2 linked regions of the Diceros bicornis minor genome follow. The protein of the gene in region 1 purifies or fractionates together with the protein of each later gene. This does not show direct contact. Links are inferred from orthologs where the notes say so. Each region holds a gene or a part of one and is shown on either strand. Other genes may lie near its edges. The genes, in order: SNX33 and DNM2.

Evidence for each region.
Region 2: the proteins of SNX33 (region 1) and DNM2 purify together in Homo sapiens (co-immunoprecipitation; 3 studies listed by BioGRID and IntAct, with this or other methods). This does not show direct contact. The link is inferred for Diceros bicornis minor from reciprocal best matches to the Homo sapiens genes SNX33 and DNM2.

Annotation. Positions count from the first base shown.
Region 1 is NC_080744.1:68,343,349-68,351,028, reverse strand, and holds the start of SNX33 (sorting nexin-33), read right to left. Parts: upstream 3,531-7,680; 5' UTR 1,843-3,530; coding exon 372-1,842; intron 1-371. UniProt on the Homo sapiens protein: Plays a role in the reorganization of the cytoskeleton, endocytosis and cellular vesicle trafficking via its interactions with membranes, WASL, DNM1 and DNM2. Acts both during interphase and at the end of mitotic cell divisions.
Region 2 is NC_080769.1:8,595,939-8,604,597, reverse strand, and holds the start of DNM2 (dynamin-2), read left to right. Parts: upstream 1-5,220; 5' UTR 5,221-5,252; coding exon 5,253-5,413; intron 5,414-8,659. Other genes in the region: QTRT1 (queuine tRNA-ribosyltransferase catalytic subunit 1), read left to right, coding at 1,512-1,650, 1,898-1,973, 2,094-2,203, 2,286-2,373, 2,465-2,617. UniProt on the Homo sapiens protein: Catalyzes the hydrolysis of GTP and utilizes this energy to mediate vesicle scission at plasma membrane during endocytosis and filament remodeling at many actin structures during organization of the actin cytoskeleton.

The sequences.
Region 1 (7,680 bases):
GGGCTCCTCAAGGGCAAGGCCTGGGCCCTGCTTATCTCCATGTCCCCAGACCCAGCCTGATACCTTGAAGGCTCAGAGCATGATGGGTAAATGAGTAAATGAGACAGAAACAGAGAAAATGAATGAATGAATGAACAAACAGACAACAAGAAGGTAAACAGCGAGCTCTATGAGGACAGGGACCAGACCTATCCACAGTAATATCCCTGCACCCACCACATGGGAGGTGCTCAACACACTTGTGGAATGAATGAATGAGACAGACGGAAAGACCAGACGAGCCGCTCTGTTCTGTCCAGGCCATTCTCAGATCCCCGGTGCCCAGCAGAGTGCAGACTCAGTAAGGGTCTCCTGCCTGCACTGAGTCTTACCTTTCTGCAGGTGGATGATGTCGGGGAAGTTGGAGAGCAGGCCCTGGTAGAGAGACAGTGTGTCAAGCATCTGGAAGAGGTCGTTCTTGGGCTGCTCAGCGAACATCTCACCCACGGCTTCATAGGTACGGCCCGTGTGAGAAATGGCGCTGTTGAGGGCTTCAGAGCTAAAGGGGGGATCCATCTGGAAGGAATGACTGATGGCCTGGAAGGCACTGCCGAGCTTCTGGAATTCCTTGCGGAAGCCCCCCACATGCTTGCGCACCAGCTCCGATGCTACAGTGCTGAGCTGCAGGACGCTGTCATCCATCTTCTTGCTGAAGGCCTTGAAGGTATCCACACGGTCCTCCACATCCTGCAGGTCCTGGTGCTCTGTGGGGATCTGGAAGGTGAGCAGGAAGCTGGCACCCACCATCTCGTCCTTCTCTGCCCGGCGTTTGCCCATCTTCCACTGCTTGTCATCCAAGCAGCTGAGGAAATGCTGGAAGCCCTCATACTGGGACAGCACAGGGTGGCTGGTCATGTGGTCCATCCAGAGGATGAGCCGCCGCTTCCGCTTCTCAATGAAGTCCTCCTCGAAGCGGCCTGTGGCCTGCTTCTCTGGCAGGTGGGGCACTGAGATGACAGTGAACTTGTGCAGCAGGCGGTTGTAGAGCCAGTCAAAGTGTTTGTAGCGCCGGTAGACAGGTGAGCCAGCGTGGGTGGGCGTGAGCTTGTAGGAGATATAGCTTTTGATGCCCTTGAATTTGGTCTGTTTGGTGGGGTCTTCCACGGAGCAGGCAAATGGGTGGGGGTTGGCCTTCCACTGGGGGCCACGAGGGCCCATTTCAATGGAGTATGTCTCAGCAATCTTGGCCATCATGGGCACATCACCCAGGATGAAGGCCTCCACTCCAGAGCGCACGAAGCACGAGAAACGGTTAAGATTGCGCCCCACCACACTGCCTCGCTTGGCAGATGCCAGGCTGTCCTGCCGCTCCAGAGGTGGCTTTGGCCGGAAGGCCATGTGCTGGCTGGGGTAGGCACCAGGGTAGGAGAGGTTGAGTGGTGGGTGCCCATTGGTGCCCAGCCCACCAGCCCGTGGCTCCTCCACCACTGTGCATCCATCGTCCCAGTCATCCCAGTCATCATCATCGTCCTCCTCGAAGCTGCCTGGGTTTGAGAGGAAGCCACTGCCCCCACCACTCCTGGAAGGGTTGGCCACACTGGAGCTGTCATACAAGCTCACCTGGGTGCCCAGAGAGCCTGCAGGGCTGCCGGAATAGTCAGCATGGTTGGAGCTGGTGCCAGAACGGATGATCTCCACGTAAGAGGCGGGGAAGAGCCCTGTCTCACCACGGCTGTTCTGACCCTGCAGCCAGCCATCCAGCGAGGTCTCACTGAAGATGACAAGGTCCTCATCCTGCTGGATGCTGATTTCCTCCTTGTTCTCACTGCGGAAGTCATAGAGGGCTCGGCCTTTCAGTGCCATGGCTGGGCCAGTGGTAGAGAAAGATGAGGAGAGGGTCCTGCCCAGAACTGGGGACACTCACTACGGTGTCCAAGAATGCACTAGCGACTCAAGGCCTGCCACAGCAACTCAGTCTCTCAGCCCCTTAGGCAGGGTCTCTGCACCCACAGATGCTGTCCAGCCTTCCTCTCTTCAAAACAATGTCCATGGCCCAGAAACTGCCCTTTCTGGTCTCCCAGCACACACATGTGAGCAGGGAGGGCTCATGTCCATAGTCTTTCTCCCTTCCCTTGGCAGCTCCTGAGGGGGATGTCTCTCTTTCTCCCACTCCCAGAAGAAAAGTCAAGTGACTGGGAGAAACCAGCTCAGAGAGGGCAAGAATTCACCACTCTCCACTGGAACAATGTTCTAAAATAGAAGAGAATCGCTCAGAAACCACCGTTCCAGAAATCCCGGCAGCTCTGGCTCCCAGCTCCTTCTGTCTCCTCAGGCCTTGGGAGGCTCTCACATTCCTCTGCAGATCTGCCCCTTCCTCCTTCCTCCTCCTCCTCTTGGGCCACTGGGTTTTCAGAAATCCAGAAAATCCAAGAGGGGCAAGGAGAAAAGCAGCAGCCTCCTGAATCGAGTCCAAGGGTGGATGTGTCCGGCTTCACAACAAGCCAGGCAGGGAAAACAAGGACTGAGGCTTACACAACAGGCCGCCAACTCTTCAACCCCGGCGGCCCAGCCCGGCCCCCAGCCGGCTGGGGCGCCCTCTCCCCGCCCCTCAAGTGGCCAGCCCCCACCTCTGAGACGGAGAGGGCGCGACGAGGCGCTCAGGCGACTTCTGGTCACTAGCTGCGTGGCCTCTTTTGTTTGCCTAATTCCCCAGCAGTCTCTGAGCCTGAAGCTGACCCTGATCGCAGTCCAAGGACCCCCGCCCAAAAGTAAACCCCGCAGCAACCGGTCCCGGCGCGCTAGACAAGCAGACCCCCACCCCTCGCGCGCACGCACACACTCAACAGGAGTTTGGAGAGTGAGCTCCCGCGAGCTGATGGCGCACCCGGCCGTCTGTCCTTCCGTCCTCCTCTCGGCCCCGCGGGGTCCAGCCGGTGGACGGCGAGCTGAGCCCCCAGCCCGCCTTCAACTCCAGCACTAGCAGTCCCTCTGCGCAGCCAGCGATAAACCAGCTCCAAAACAAAAAAAGGCGATTCCGGGAGGTGGCGTCCCGAGGAAGGAGGGAATAGCTGAGGGGGGACGTGAGGGGTGGAGAGAGAGAGGGAGGGAGGAAAAGCAGGCTGGGGAATTGGGCAAACTCCACAGCACTTCCGTGCGTCCGGGCTGGGCAGGGACGGCCCGGCTCCGCCCTCCCGCGGGCCTGGGGCGCTGGAGCCGGGGCTCCCGCCTCCTCCTCGCTTCTCTCCTGGCCGTCGCCCTCACTCGCTCGCGCTGAGATCGGAATGCGAGAGGGAGGAGACGACCCGGGAAGTAGGGGCCCGCGGGCCTCCGGGACCAGTCCCTAGGGCGGCCGCACTCCCGAGCCCGTCCGGCCTCGCAGTGAGACGTCTCTCGCCCCGCCGGGCTTGAGAGCCGCGCGGGGGAGCTCGCCAGCCGCCGCCGCCTAGCCTCCTGGACTCTGTCACTCTCCTGCCTTTTCCGTGACGCAAGTGGAGGAAAACTCGAAAGTTTGCAAAGTGTGGGGCTACCAGGAGGGCTCCAGAGCCGGGACCCGGGGGGGAAGGGATTGAGGAAGGGTGCGTGGAGAGCCGCGGACGCCCCCCTACCCGTCCCCTTCTCCCCGCCCCCGCCCCCAGCGTGGCGCAGCCCCGGAATTGTTCGCTGGAGGGGGCCCCAGAGCCAGCTGCGCCCTCACCAGAAGAAGCCTGAGCGACCTGGGATACTGGCCTCTTCAGGTCCTAATACCCTGACCAGACAGGGCCAGGAGCACTCCTGCCCTGGGCGACTTCCTTCAGGGGGAAGGACAAGACCCTATATCTGTAGCGGCAGGGAGCAAGCTCAGGCACGATCCAGTTCCATGTTGCTTTGTGCGGCTGGGAAGACTGGAAGTTCTGTCTTCGCCAGCAGCAGCGAGGAGAAAGGGGTGGTTGGGGTAGGCTTCCGAGAGGAGGCGAAGGGGATTTGACCCTTAGTCAGCCCATCCGGAACACTGGGCGTTAACTTTGGCAGGCACTGTGCTGGGCACTGGGGATTACTGCACAACAAGGCAGTCCGGGTTCCTGCCCTGGAGAGTTTACAATCCGCCCTCTTGTCCTTAATTCATCCGTTGTCTCCGTCTTATTCATTAAATCATGCACTCAAGGAAACATTAACTGAGTAACTATTCCGTACCAGGCCCCCTGGGCTACAAACACAAATAAGACATTATCCTTCCAGCAGCTCAGATGTGTTGACAAGTAAACAGATGCTCCCTGCTCAGTGTGACCAATGCCAGGAAATGAGAGTGGGAGAGCACCTATCCCAGCCTGGGTGGAGCAAGGATGAAGGAAGGCTTCCTGGAGGAGGTGCCTAAGGTGAGGCAAAGGTTTCAGCCCCTACTCTCCTTCCCGGCTGTGCCCTGGCACCTTGCCTACCTACCCCCTCTAACCAGAACTTCCTTCCGTCTCATTCTCACTCTTCCCACTTGTTGCAGATGAACTGGCACAAAGTAGTGCTGCTAAAGGTGTGCACCTTTGGCTGTACTGAGGGGTATGATCTGCAGGCCTCTGGCTACAAACCCAGTTTCATGAGTGCAGTGAGTAGATCCAGTTCCCTATGCAGGGCTGGCATTTGACCAGAATAAAGGCTTATGTAGTACAAACCTCAGAAGCCCAGGTATTAATTTGCACAGAGAAATACAACTGTCAGGCAGCCCTGAATTTTTGCATCAATAGCCCAAGGCAGTTTGGGCTGCTTCTTGAGAAGCCCAGTTACCGGAAGGTTAGCCCCATGAACTTGGAACCCCCAGGATGGGAAGAGGGGATGGTATGACAAGTCTCTCAGCCAAGAAACCTTGAGATCTTGTCCCCTGCCACAGGGGCAGCCTTGATCCTAAGGACTCAGTTCAGCCTAGTATCTCCACGGCCAGAGCCAGTATATATGTTTCCCCCAGATGCTTTTGGGACACTCCTTTTCTATGATCTCTCTTCTGTTCACCTAGCCTCTCGCCAGGCTGGGTTTGACAATAGCAACTAGTTTAGTGCTTGCTGAGTGCTAGACACTGTTGTAACCATTTTACCTTTATTGGCTCACTTAATACAGTTGATGGGATTTCTGCTCACCCAACTAGGGTCCTAGTCCAGCCCCGCCCCCCTAAAATGTTCCCAGCCACCACCTTGATGGCCTTTAGTTGTTTCCCAAACACTTCAGTCACACATTTACAGATCAACCATCTTGGATTTACTCCCACATCTATTCTGGGTGGGTTTTTCTCTCAGGGGCCACCCTTATTTACAGGTTCTTGGCGGAAACTCACTCTTCAGCCTCACAGAAATTTCCAGAACCCGTATCTTTCATTCCCTCCCTTCCAGGGACCCTCTTAAAGCCTAGGGGTAACAGAACCCCTGGTCGCTAGTCTCAGAAAATTGCACTAACCTTTGTGGTTTTCCTACACTCTGCCCATTTCTTTGGAAAAAGTCCCTTTGTTAAATTATCCTCACATTATTCTAATTGGAGTGTGGTCTCTTTCCTGCTGGGACCCTGATTTGTGCACAGGAAACAGCATCCATCCCCCATCCAGGCATCTACCTTTCCTCCTTTAGGAAGGAAGTCAGCAAGGGAGAACCGTGGCCAGTGGCTTCCCGGCTGGTGGCAGCATAGAGGACACACTGGACTATTACTGTAGTAATGCAGACAAGAGATAATGAGGGCCTGAGGTAGCGGAGGGGTAATGGGCTAGGGAGTAGTAACTCTGGGAGTTTATGGAGGTAGAATTGACAGAAATGGCAACCAACAAGATGTAGGTATTGAGGAAAAAGTCAATTCACATCTCGAAAGAATAGATTCTCGACTCCACTTCCCCCACCCTCATTTCTACTACTGCCTCATTTCTCTGCCTGCCTTTGCAGCAAAATTCCTCAAAACAGCCATCTCTGCTAGCTATGTACAATTTCTTTCCCCCCTTCTCTTCTTAAACGCCTCTAGCCAGTCTTCCACCCTCACATTCCACTGAAACTATTCTTGTCAAGGTCATCAGTGACCTGTTATTCTCCGTCCTCCTCTTACTCAACCTCTCAGCAGCATTTGACCAGGTTGATCACCCCTTCCCCCGGATACACTTTCTTCACTTGCACTGGGGAGACCGTAATCTCCTGGTCCCCCCTCTACCTCGCTGGTTCATCCTCTTCTCTCCAATAATTCTTAACACTAGAGTGACTACAGGAGAGTGATCCTCTTGTCTTTTCTATCCATATTCACTCCTTCGATGATCTCACCCAGGCTCATGGCTTCAAACACCATCTATCTGCCAATAACGCCTTTTTTTTTTTTTTTTTAATCTCCAGCCTAATTTCCCTAAAATTCCAGACTCCCATATCTTTCTCCTTGACATCTCCCCTTGGGTGTCTAATAGACATCTCCAACCCAACATGTGCGAAATTGAATTTATGATCTTGCCCCCCAAACTTGTTCTACTTGGTAGCCTTCCCAATCTCAGGTGATGAGTACTTTCTTCCACTTGCTTGGGCCAAAACCTGGAGCCATCCCTGACTCTTCTCATCATCCTGGGACTCCTCTCTCACTGGCATCTCACTACTGCTCTCCTGGTCCCAGAAACCATCTTTCTCACCTGAATCACTGCAACAGCTTCCTAATGGTCTGTGTTTCCACTCCTGCCTCCTGACAGTCTCTTTTCAACACAGCAGTTAGAGTTATCCTTTTAAAACATAAGTTAGGGGTCTGGCCCAGTGGCGTAGTACTTAAGTTCGTGTGCTCTGCTTCAGTGACCCGGGGTTCATGGGTTCGGATCCCAGGCACGGACATATGCACTGCTCATCAAGCCATGCTGTGGCAGTGTCCCATATATAAAGTAGAGGAAGATGGGCACGGAGGGTAGCTCAGCAACAATCTTCCTCAAGCAAAAAGAGGAGGATTGGCAACAGATGTTAACTCAGGGCCAATCTTCCTCACCAAAAAAAATAATAAAAATAAAAAATAAATAAAATAAAACTTAAGTTAGATGTCAGTCCTCTGCTCAAAACCCTTCAGTGTCCTCATCTCACTCACAAAAAAAGCCAAAGTCCTTATTACCTGGGCCTATGAGCCTCTGTTATCTGAGCATCCTTTCCTCCCCTCCTAGCCCACTCTGCTCCAGGCAAGATGGCTTTGTTACTCCTCTTCTGAGACGTCAGGCACATTCCTGTCTTAAGGCATTTGCACCATGTCCTCTTCCTGAAATGTTCTTCCCCCAGATACCCACATGGCTAAACCCCTATAAAATATCACCTTCTCAATAAGACCTATCCTGACATGCCCTATTTAAAATTACAGCCCTGGGGCCGGCCCCGTGGCTTAGCAGTTAAGTGCGGTTAAGTGCGCGCTCCGCTGCTCGTGGCCCAGGTTCGGATACCGGGCGCACACCGACGCGCCGCTTCTCCAGCCATGCTGAGGCCGCGTCTCACGTACAGCAACTAGAAGGATGTTCATCTATGACATACAACTATCTACTGGGGCTTTGGAGGAAAAAAATAAATTAATTTAAAAAATTAATAAAATAAAATAAAATTACAGCCCATCCTCTCCCCAAGCTCTCCTATATCCTGCTGTTTTGATTCATAACACTTATCACCTGCTAACATGTATAATTCACTTTATTATGTTTATCGTCTGGGGAGAAGGAAGTTAACCAAGAGTCCTGCTGCAGACATGTTGAGCAAGGGCTGAAGA
Region 2 (8,659 bases), on another chromosome or scaffold:
GGCTAGTGGCTTGGCCTCTCTGAGCCTCACTTTCTTCCTCTGTAAAATGGGAACATACTCCCAGTGTCGTGGGGACAAAGTGAGGAATAATTGGGGAACTCTGTTCAAAGTGTCCCACCTGGCACCCACCGGTGTGTGCTGTTGTGAAAATTGTCGTTGAAATTCCTCTTTGTCCTCACACTGGGCCCCCCACCCCCAGGTCTCCAGTCCAGTCTTTTTAACGGAGTCCCACAGTCAGAGATATACTTCATGTCCTGCTTAGTACGCGTGGCTGTATATGAAAGCAGAAACCTTTTGTGAAGTATTACCTTATATGTGAGAGGCTTTCTGGTATCTTCTGTTTTCTTTCTTTTTTATTTTATTTTTTTTGTGAGGAAGATCAGCCCTGAGCTAACATCTGACGCCAATCCTCCTCTTTTTGCTGAGGAAGACTGGCCCTGGGCTAACATCTGTGCCCATCTTCCTCCACTTTATATGCGGGATGCCGCCCCAGCATGGCTTAATGAGCGGTGGGTAGGTCTGTGCCCGGGATCTGAAGCTGCGAACCCCAGGCCGCCCAAGTGGTGCGTGTAGACTCAACCACGACGGCACTGGCCGGCCCCTCTGTTTGCTTTCATTTAAAAAAACCAACCGCCCTGTCTTGCCCCATTAATTCATTTCTCGGCCACCTGCAGTCTGTCAAGCACCGCCCTGGTGGCACTTCTCAAAGTCCTCCGAGGCCCAGCTGCACAGAACCCCCTGGGCTGTCGTCCCCCAGGACTGGATCAGACAGGGGGCGAGGGGGGACCTGGGAAGCGGCATTTGAACAACCCGTCCCCCGTCGATTCTGCTGCTCACTCCAGCTTTAAAACCTGGCCCCAGACCGGGCCTGCTTGGTCGGGGCTGTGGCCTCCCCTGGTTGAACTGGGAAGCTGGGGCCAGAGACCCCGGTTCGAATCCTGCCTCTGCCACATGGGGCCCCAGGCTAGTGGTTTAAGCTGCGCATGCGCGACAGTGGTGCGATCTGCAGCCCCTTCTCTGTCATTCTGAAGCCTAATCTCCCACTTCTTTTTTTTTTTTAAAGATTTTATTTATTTATTTTTCCCCCAACGCCCCAGTAGATAGCTGTCTGTCATAGCTGCACATCCTCCTAGTCGCTGTATGTGGGACCCGGCCTCAGCATGGCCGGAGAAGCGGCGCGTCGGTGCGCGCCCGGGATCCGAACCCGGGCCGCCAGCAGCGGAGCGCGCGCACTTAACCGCCAAGCCACCAGGCCGGCCCTAATCTCCCACTTCTAAAATCCAGATTGCTCAGGAATTTGCAGTTCATCTGCTGGCAGCACCCTAGACACACACACTCAAATACACACACTTACGTGCACACTCATATTCTCTCTTTCTGAGGGGCCTGTGGAGGACTGGGCAGGGTCCACCCATGGGCCAGGAGGAGGGGGCGGGGAGGAGGGAGGAGGCAGTGGTGGCGGCAATGCATTTCCCTCTGCCTGGTCCCCCTCCCCTTGCCCCGGACCCCAGAGATGACCAAGAGGGACGTGCCCGGCTTCGCCATCGGGGGCCTGAGCGGGGGCGAGAGCAAGAACCAGTTCTGGAGGATGGTCGCGCTGAGCACGTCGAGGCTGCCTAAGGATAAGCCCCGATACCTGATGGGGGTCGGGTATGTGGAGAGGAGGGGCGACAGCCTCACCTGTGGGGAGCGGATAGCTGGGGACCCCTGCCCCCCGGGGTTGGGGCGGGAGGATGCAGCCCTGCCTGGGAGGGGACTGAGGGGGACATGGCCCTCCCCTGAGGGCGGTTCTGAGGGAATGCAGCCCGGTCCCCGGGGAGTCTGAGGGTGGGAGGGGGCTCTGAGTGTGTGACCCGGGCTTGAGGTTCTCTGCGCCCCCCCACGGTCCCACCCCCAGCTATGCCACCGATCTGGTGGTCTGCGTGGCTCTCGGATGCGACATGTTCGACTGCGTCTTCCCCACGCGGACGGCGGTGAGGCCCTGGGCAGGGGGCAGACAGGGGCGGGGACTGGGGGGAGTGCCAAGGTGGGGGCGGGGCCGGGGCGGGTGAAGACCCCTGGACCCGCCTTCCCGTCCCCCTCTCCTCCCGCAGCGCTTCGGCTCCGCGCTGGTGCCCACGGGGAACCTGCAGCTGAAGAAGAAACAGTATGAGAGGGACTTCCGCCCCATAGACCCCGAGTGCGCCTGTCCCACGTGCCAGATGTAGGGGGCTGGGGACTGGGGGCGGGGCAGGGCGCGGAGCGGGGCTGGACCCTCGCGCTGCTGAGCCCCGATCTGCCCCCAGGCACAGCCGGGCCTTCCTGCACGCACTGCTCCACAGCGACAACACCGCCGCCCTGCACCACCTCACTGTCCACAACATCGCCTACCAGGTGGGCTGGTGGCCGGGCGGGCCAGGCCGGGGGGTGGCCGGGGTCTCCCGGGCGCGGGGGCTGACGCTGACACCTCCACCCTGCCCCGCAGCTGCAGCTGATGAGCGCCGTGCGCGCCAGCATCGTGGAGAAGCGCTTCCCCGACTTCGTGCGCAACTTCATGGGCACCATGTACGGGGACCCCACCCTCTGTCCCGCCTGGGCCACCGAAGCCCTGGCCTCTGTGGGCATCACACTGGCTTGACCCGGCTTGGGGGAGGGCGGGGGAAGGGGAGGGAAGATATTGAAGGATTTGGGTTTTTTATTATAACTTAGTGTCTGTGCCTTCTTGGGGAGGTGGCCTGTCTTGGTCCCCTTCCTGGTCTGAGTGTCACTGAGGCTGATGTCCCTCCCCCGCACCATTGATAAATTACCAGTAACCATAGCAGCAGCTGGTATCCGGGAACCACCTGGCACAGCCCAGCATGTAGGAAGTGCCCCAGAGTGGGAGCCACATGGTTGACCCTGTGGCTCAGGCCCCAGCCACGCTGGGGTGGACACTCGTGTCCTCCTCCTTTTTAGAGGCGAGGAAGCAGGCCCAGAGAGGGGAAGTAGCTTGCCCAAGGTCACCATGGAAGGAGTAGAGGCCTGGCTCCGGATCTCATGCTCTTAGCCTTGACTCTTGGGACATGTGGCTTCATCTCGCTGTCAGTACACACAGTCATGACGACAGTGGGTGTGATGCACTGTTCTAAACAGCTGTCACGTGCATTTAATTCTTGAAACCTTCTGATGCATAGGTAGCTACATTCCCCATTTTACAGATGAGGAAACTGAGGTTCAGAGGAATGAGGTCACTTGGTCATTATCACCCAGCACAACAGGCCCAGGATCTAACCCAGATATGGCCAATTACAGACGGGGTACTCTTAGAAGATAAGGTTTTTTTAATTGAACAGTAATAGGATGTAGGATCCACAATTCAAATAGCATAAAAATGCAACTGCTTTGATCAGTTTGGGTATTCTTCCAGAAATTTTCCATGTGGGGCCAGCCCAGTGGCGCAGCGGTTAATTTAAGTGCAGGCGCTCTGCTTCGGCGGCCCGGGTTTCACAGGTTCGGATCCCGGGCATGTGCCAACGTACCACTTGTCAAGCCATGCTGTGGCGGTATCCCATATAAAGTGGAGGAAGATGGGCACGGATGTTAGCCCAGGGCCGGTCTTCCTCAGCAAAAAGAGGAGGATTGGCATCGGACGTTAGCTCAGGGCTGATATTACACACAAAAAAACAAAAAAATTTTCCATGTGTATATATATTTTTTTCATGAATGTCAGCGTCCTTTACACGCAGTTCTGTCCCTTGCTATTTTTTTTCTTTCTTTTGTTATATCTCAGATTATTTACACATCAGTACATGAAGACTAACTCAATCTTTTTTACAGCTGTTGCATAGTATTTATGAGCTCCATGGATGGGCAGTTAGGGTGTTTCCAGGTTTCTGTGATTGTGGTCAAGGCCGCATTGCCAAAACTTGTTGGTCGTCTTGTTGCCCATTTCTCTGAGACCTGGGGTTATGGGTCAGGGAGCAGGCCCATCTGTTCCCCAAGGGATCAAATCACTTTTCTTAAAATCCTTCCACATATCCCCGGCCTCTTTTCTAAGAGGTTAATGGTTTCGGTTCCCACAACCCCCAACTGTTGCCTGCAAAATAAGGTGTCTTTACCTGGGGAGAGGATCGTTGAGTTTCACCGGGCACTCCAAAAGATCCAAGATGCGCTCAAGTTGAAGAGGCAGGAGAACAACGTTGGAGCGTTAGCCGCAGCAAGACGGGGCGTGAGCGGAAAGTATTCCTAGGAGAGAGCACAGCATTTGCAAAGGCTTAGAGGCGTGACTTTATAGGAATGAAAGTGGGGGCCAGCGATGCAGTGCTAGACCGCCTCTCCCTAAGAACGACTCACATCGCCTGATTCTCACCTTCAAAGCGCGTTGGGACCCCGCGCGGAGAGCTGGTTTGCGAGCCCGGGGCCGAGATGCATTCTGGGACTTGTAGTTTTCTCTCGAGCCCGGAAACTCACACATGAAGATCACCACCGGGTCCCACCACGAGGTGGCGTCCTTAGGCGAGTAAGGTGGGCTTTACCCTGTACTCCAGAAGCCTCTCCAATAGACATACAACAATCCCAAGTCAAAACGGGAGATTTTTTGATTGACAAATGCAGTGATCAATCAGAGTCAGGGTTCAGAGGTTAAAGCCCGCCCTCTTTCGTTTTGTTGGCTGATGGAACGGAGTGATAGTTATATAAACCAATAGGAAGTTTTTAGGGAACTAGGTAGCGTCAAGTGACAAACCAGTGTCTAAGGATCGATCCCTAATATCATTGGCCAGCTTTGTTGACTGGCGGGTCTTCCTGCCAATAAGACTGGCGGATTTTCCTGCCATCGGGAATCCCTCCCTAATAGGCGGCACCAATATGCCTTTTCCCGAAACACCGCCCCCTGGCCTTGACAACTCGCTTCCCGCCGCTATTGGCTCTTGCACAACAGCGACAGCTCTTGCGTCCAATCAGCCCGCGAGAAGGTCCCCCGGGGGAGACTCCCCGCCCGTAAGCCCGTGCCTCGCTTTCATTGGCTCGTGTGCACGAGTGGCAGCCCGGCCGGCCAATCGGAGCCGGCGCAAGAGCTTTGGGCGCAGCCCCGGGGCCCGGGCGGGAGGTCGCTCGGGTCGGGTGTCGCCTGAGAACCGGATGAGGCGGCGACCGTGAGGCCGAGCCGGGAGCGGGCGTTGCGCCGAGGCCCGGGCGTGCGGGGAGCAACGGCCGCGGACTCCGCGGGGCCGCGTCGTTGAGGGCCGGGGGCGGGCGGGGAGCGCGGGGCGCTCGGGCCGGGGGCCGCCGGCGCCATGGGCAACCGGGGGATGGAGGAGCTGATCCCGCTGGTCAACAAGCTGCAGGACGCCTTCAGCTCCATCGGCCAGAGCTGCCACCTGGACCTGCCGCAGATCGCCGTGGTGGGCGGCCAGAGCGCCGGCAAGAGCTCGGTGCTCGAGAACTTCGTGGGCCGGTGAGCGAGCGCGGCGGCGGCGGGCGGCGGGCGGCGGCCTGGCGCGGAGGGCGGACCGGGAATGGCGCGCCGTGCGCCGCCGGCGTAACTGCGGCGCTTGCGTGCCCGCGGCGGGACGGGGACAGGGAGGCGGGCCTGCGGGCGCCCCGGGCGGAGGACTCCCTGCGGGGGCCGGGGGCCGTGTCGCGGGCTGGGGGCGTGGGCCCCGAGGCGCGGTGGACCCCCGCCGGCTCCCCGGTCCCCAGCTTGAGTGGGTGAAATCTACTATCTGGTTGCCGCTGGGTCCGGGGTAGGTCCGCCTTCTTTGCGTCTCTCTATCCGCAACCTGCCAGCTAGATACCTATCGGGCCGACCCCTGCCGTCTGGCTGGCTTTTCATTTATCTGGAGCAGCCCTCGCCGTCTGGTTGGCCCTCACTGCGTCCTGGATAGGCCTCCCTGCCACCACCATTTGGCTGTCCATCTGGCCAGTCCCGCAGGGCAGCCCCCTGCTGTCTGGCTAGCTGTCCAGGGTGACCTGTGCAGTCTGCCTGCCCATCCGTGCCCCTCACAGACTTTAACGCTTAACCATCCATCTGTAGGGTCACCCCAGCTGGCCTCTGGCGTCTGACTGCCTGGCTGGACCCTAAGGGGCCCTGTTGTCTGGCTCGCTTGGCCTCACTTTTCAGCTTGGCTCCTGGCAAACGCTGTCTCCTCTCTTCCAAGTGGATCCTTTTGTCTGTCTGTCCTGGTGTCTGTCCTTTTCCTGGTCTGCCCGTCGGTGCCCTGGCGGCCCCCGACTGTCTGGCCCAAGCTCTGGCAGGGGGTGGTGGGAGCATGCAGAGGAGAAGGGAGCTGAAGGATGAATGTTGAACGCCTTCCTTCTCAGTTGGAAGTAGGACCCCAGTGGAACTTTCTCCAGGATTCTTGCCTGGCCCCTGTCAGGGTGCTCCAGGTCCCCAGAACACAGGGGCCAGCCTCCAGGCTAAAGCTTGCAAATTGGGAGGCCCTCCTTGGAGCCTAGGAAGGAACTTCTTGCCTGCTCAGGCCTCAGTGGCAAGAGCTGGAATACAGCCTTCCCTGGGCAGCCCTGAGAAGCCTCAGTTTGCGCATCTGTCCAGTGGGCAAATTCCACTCTCTGGGCTGTTTTCCAGGATTCAGGAAGCTAATGAATGAGAACAGGCACTGAGGCCACCGAGGGTGGTTAGTTCGCCCCTCTCCCTTCGCCCCTCTCCCTTCGCCCATCTCTTGCCCTTCTGCCTCCCAGATGGGCGGCCACTTCTCCATTCTGGGAAGGACTCCATTTGTGACCGTGGCTGCCACATGATACCATCATAGTCATCAGTCTCATCGTTATTATTACTGTTGTTGTCAGTGTTATGAGGTCACGTTCATCCAGCAGGCCTAGTGCTGAGTTCTTTCTTGGTTTGGTATCTTGATTCCCACCATCAGCGGGTGGGGTGGAGCTTCTGTCATCCCCGCCTTAGAGATGAGCGGGGAGGCTCAGAAAGGACTCGCCGTTTGCCCAAGGCCACCGGGCTGGCGCTCAGTGGAGCCCAGCTGGGCACGCACCCCGCCTCTGCCTCCCAGAGGCCTGGAGTTTTGCTCCCAGCGGCACGAATCTCCTCCTCTGCTGCTTTACCTCTGGCGAGCTGCCCTCTGTCCACTGTGGCAGAAAGGTGTGGACTTGGGGTCAGCTGGGGCTGGGCTGATCCTCGGGCCGGGCTGTGGGCCCCTGCGTGCGTGGCCATCTTCCTGCCTGCCCAGGCTTCCAGTGGGCGTCCGTAAAGCTGTCCATTTCATTTGCCTTTGACCTTGCACAGGTTATTTGGTCTCTCTGAGCCTCAGTTTTCCCTCCTAAAAATGGGGTGACGATCCCTCAACAAGACTGTTGCAAGGATGCAGTGAAAGTTCTTCCTTAGCACATAGTAGGTCTACATGGACGGGGCCGGTGTTCACCAGGCTGCTTCCTCTCATGTCGACAACAAAAGCTAATTAGAATTAAGTGCTCTCAGGTAACACACTGGACTTGGTTTAAGCCTTATGAGGCTGGCGCTGCTGTGATTTCTGTTTTACAGAGCAGGAAACTGAGGCTCAGAGAGCTGAGCACGCTGCTTGGGGCTGTTCAGTGAGGAATTGGCGGCTCTGGGGTTGGGGGCCCGGGGTTTCCCTTCCCTCCCCACCTCTCCTCGGTCCCTCTGCCCCTGGCCTTTCTCTTCGTCCCACTCTGGCATCTGGCGACTGCCGGCCACTGCTGAGCTGCCTCCTGTGGCAGCCTCCTTCCAGAAGCCTGCAAAGCGACATCGGTCATTCAGAACATTAATTCAGGGCCCAAAAACCAGAGTTGTGAAAAGGCCTCTCTTCGGGGATGGGGTGCACAGAGCTAACTTCTTCTTAGTTCTGGAATGTGGATGAGGCCTCTCAGCCTCAAAGCCCTGCCACAGGGGACGGCAGGCGGGCCTCATGTGGAATCCCCCTCCTTCTTTTTGTGACTTTGGCCACGCCGTGCATCGTGGACCTGTGCTGTGGACCTCCTGCTGGTTTCGGGGAGCAGACGAGAGTGCGTGTCAAGGGCCTGTGCCTGGGGACCAGCACGGGCTGCTCCGGTTCATTGCCCCCTCCTTGTGGATTTTCTAAGAATGTTGTCTGAGTGGGAATGGCCCTCTTCACTCAGCCCTGTACCACGGGTTGCAGATCCGTGGCCCCGGGAGCCCAGGCCTGCTTGCTGGGTCTTTGGTTTTACCTGCATGGTGTTTAAAAAAAAAATTAGCTACCAACATTGAAAAATTAGATTTTGCGTCAAAATCTGGATTTTTGCGGTGTTAGCAGAGACCCAAAGATCTTTAGAATTTAGTGGTGTAGCACAGGCTCTGGGCCCAAGGACCGGCTCCATGTTTGGCTTTGTGACTTTGGCCAAGTGGACTCAGGTTCCTTTTCTGTAGAATGGGGTGATAACTAGACCCTCCTGGGGCGTGGACTCTGTACCCGTGGCTGCTGTTGTTAAAATCATTGTATTCTGGCCTCCTTGGGCTGGCGTCTTGCTTGGCACCAACTGCCTGGATCTCAGAAGGAGCAGCTGCTGGCTGCCCCATCAGACTAGGGTAGGCCACTTGAGCTGCCACAGTCCCCACCACTCCCTAATGCTCACCCAGGCCCATTTCACATTTGCCTGGAGCTTCCTAGCCCTGGAAACCTTTGAGTTTAAGACCCCTGGGTCGTGGCCCCTATACCAGCAGATAAACCTGTGGCCCTAAGGAGAGAGGAGGATG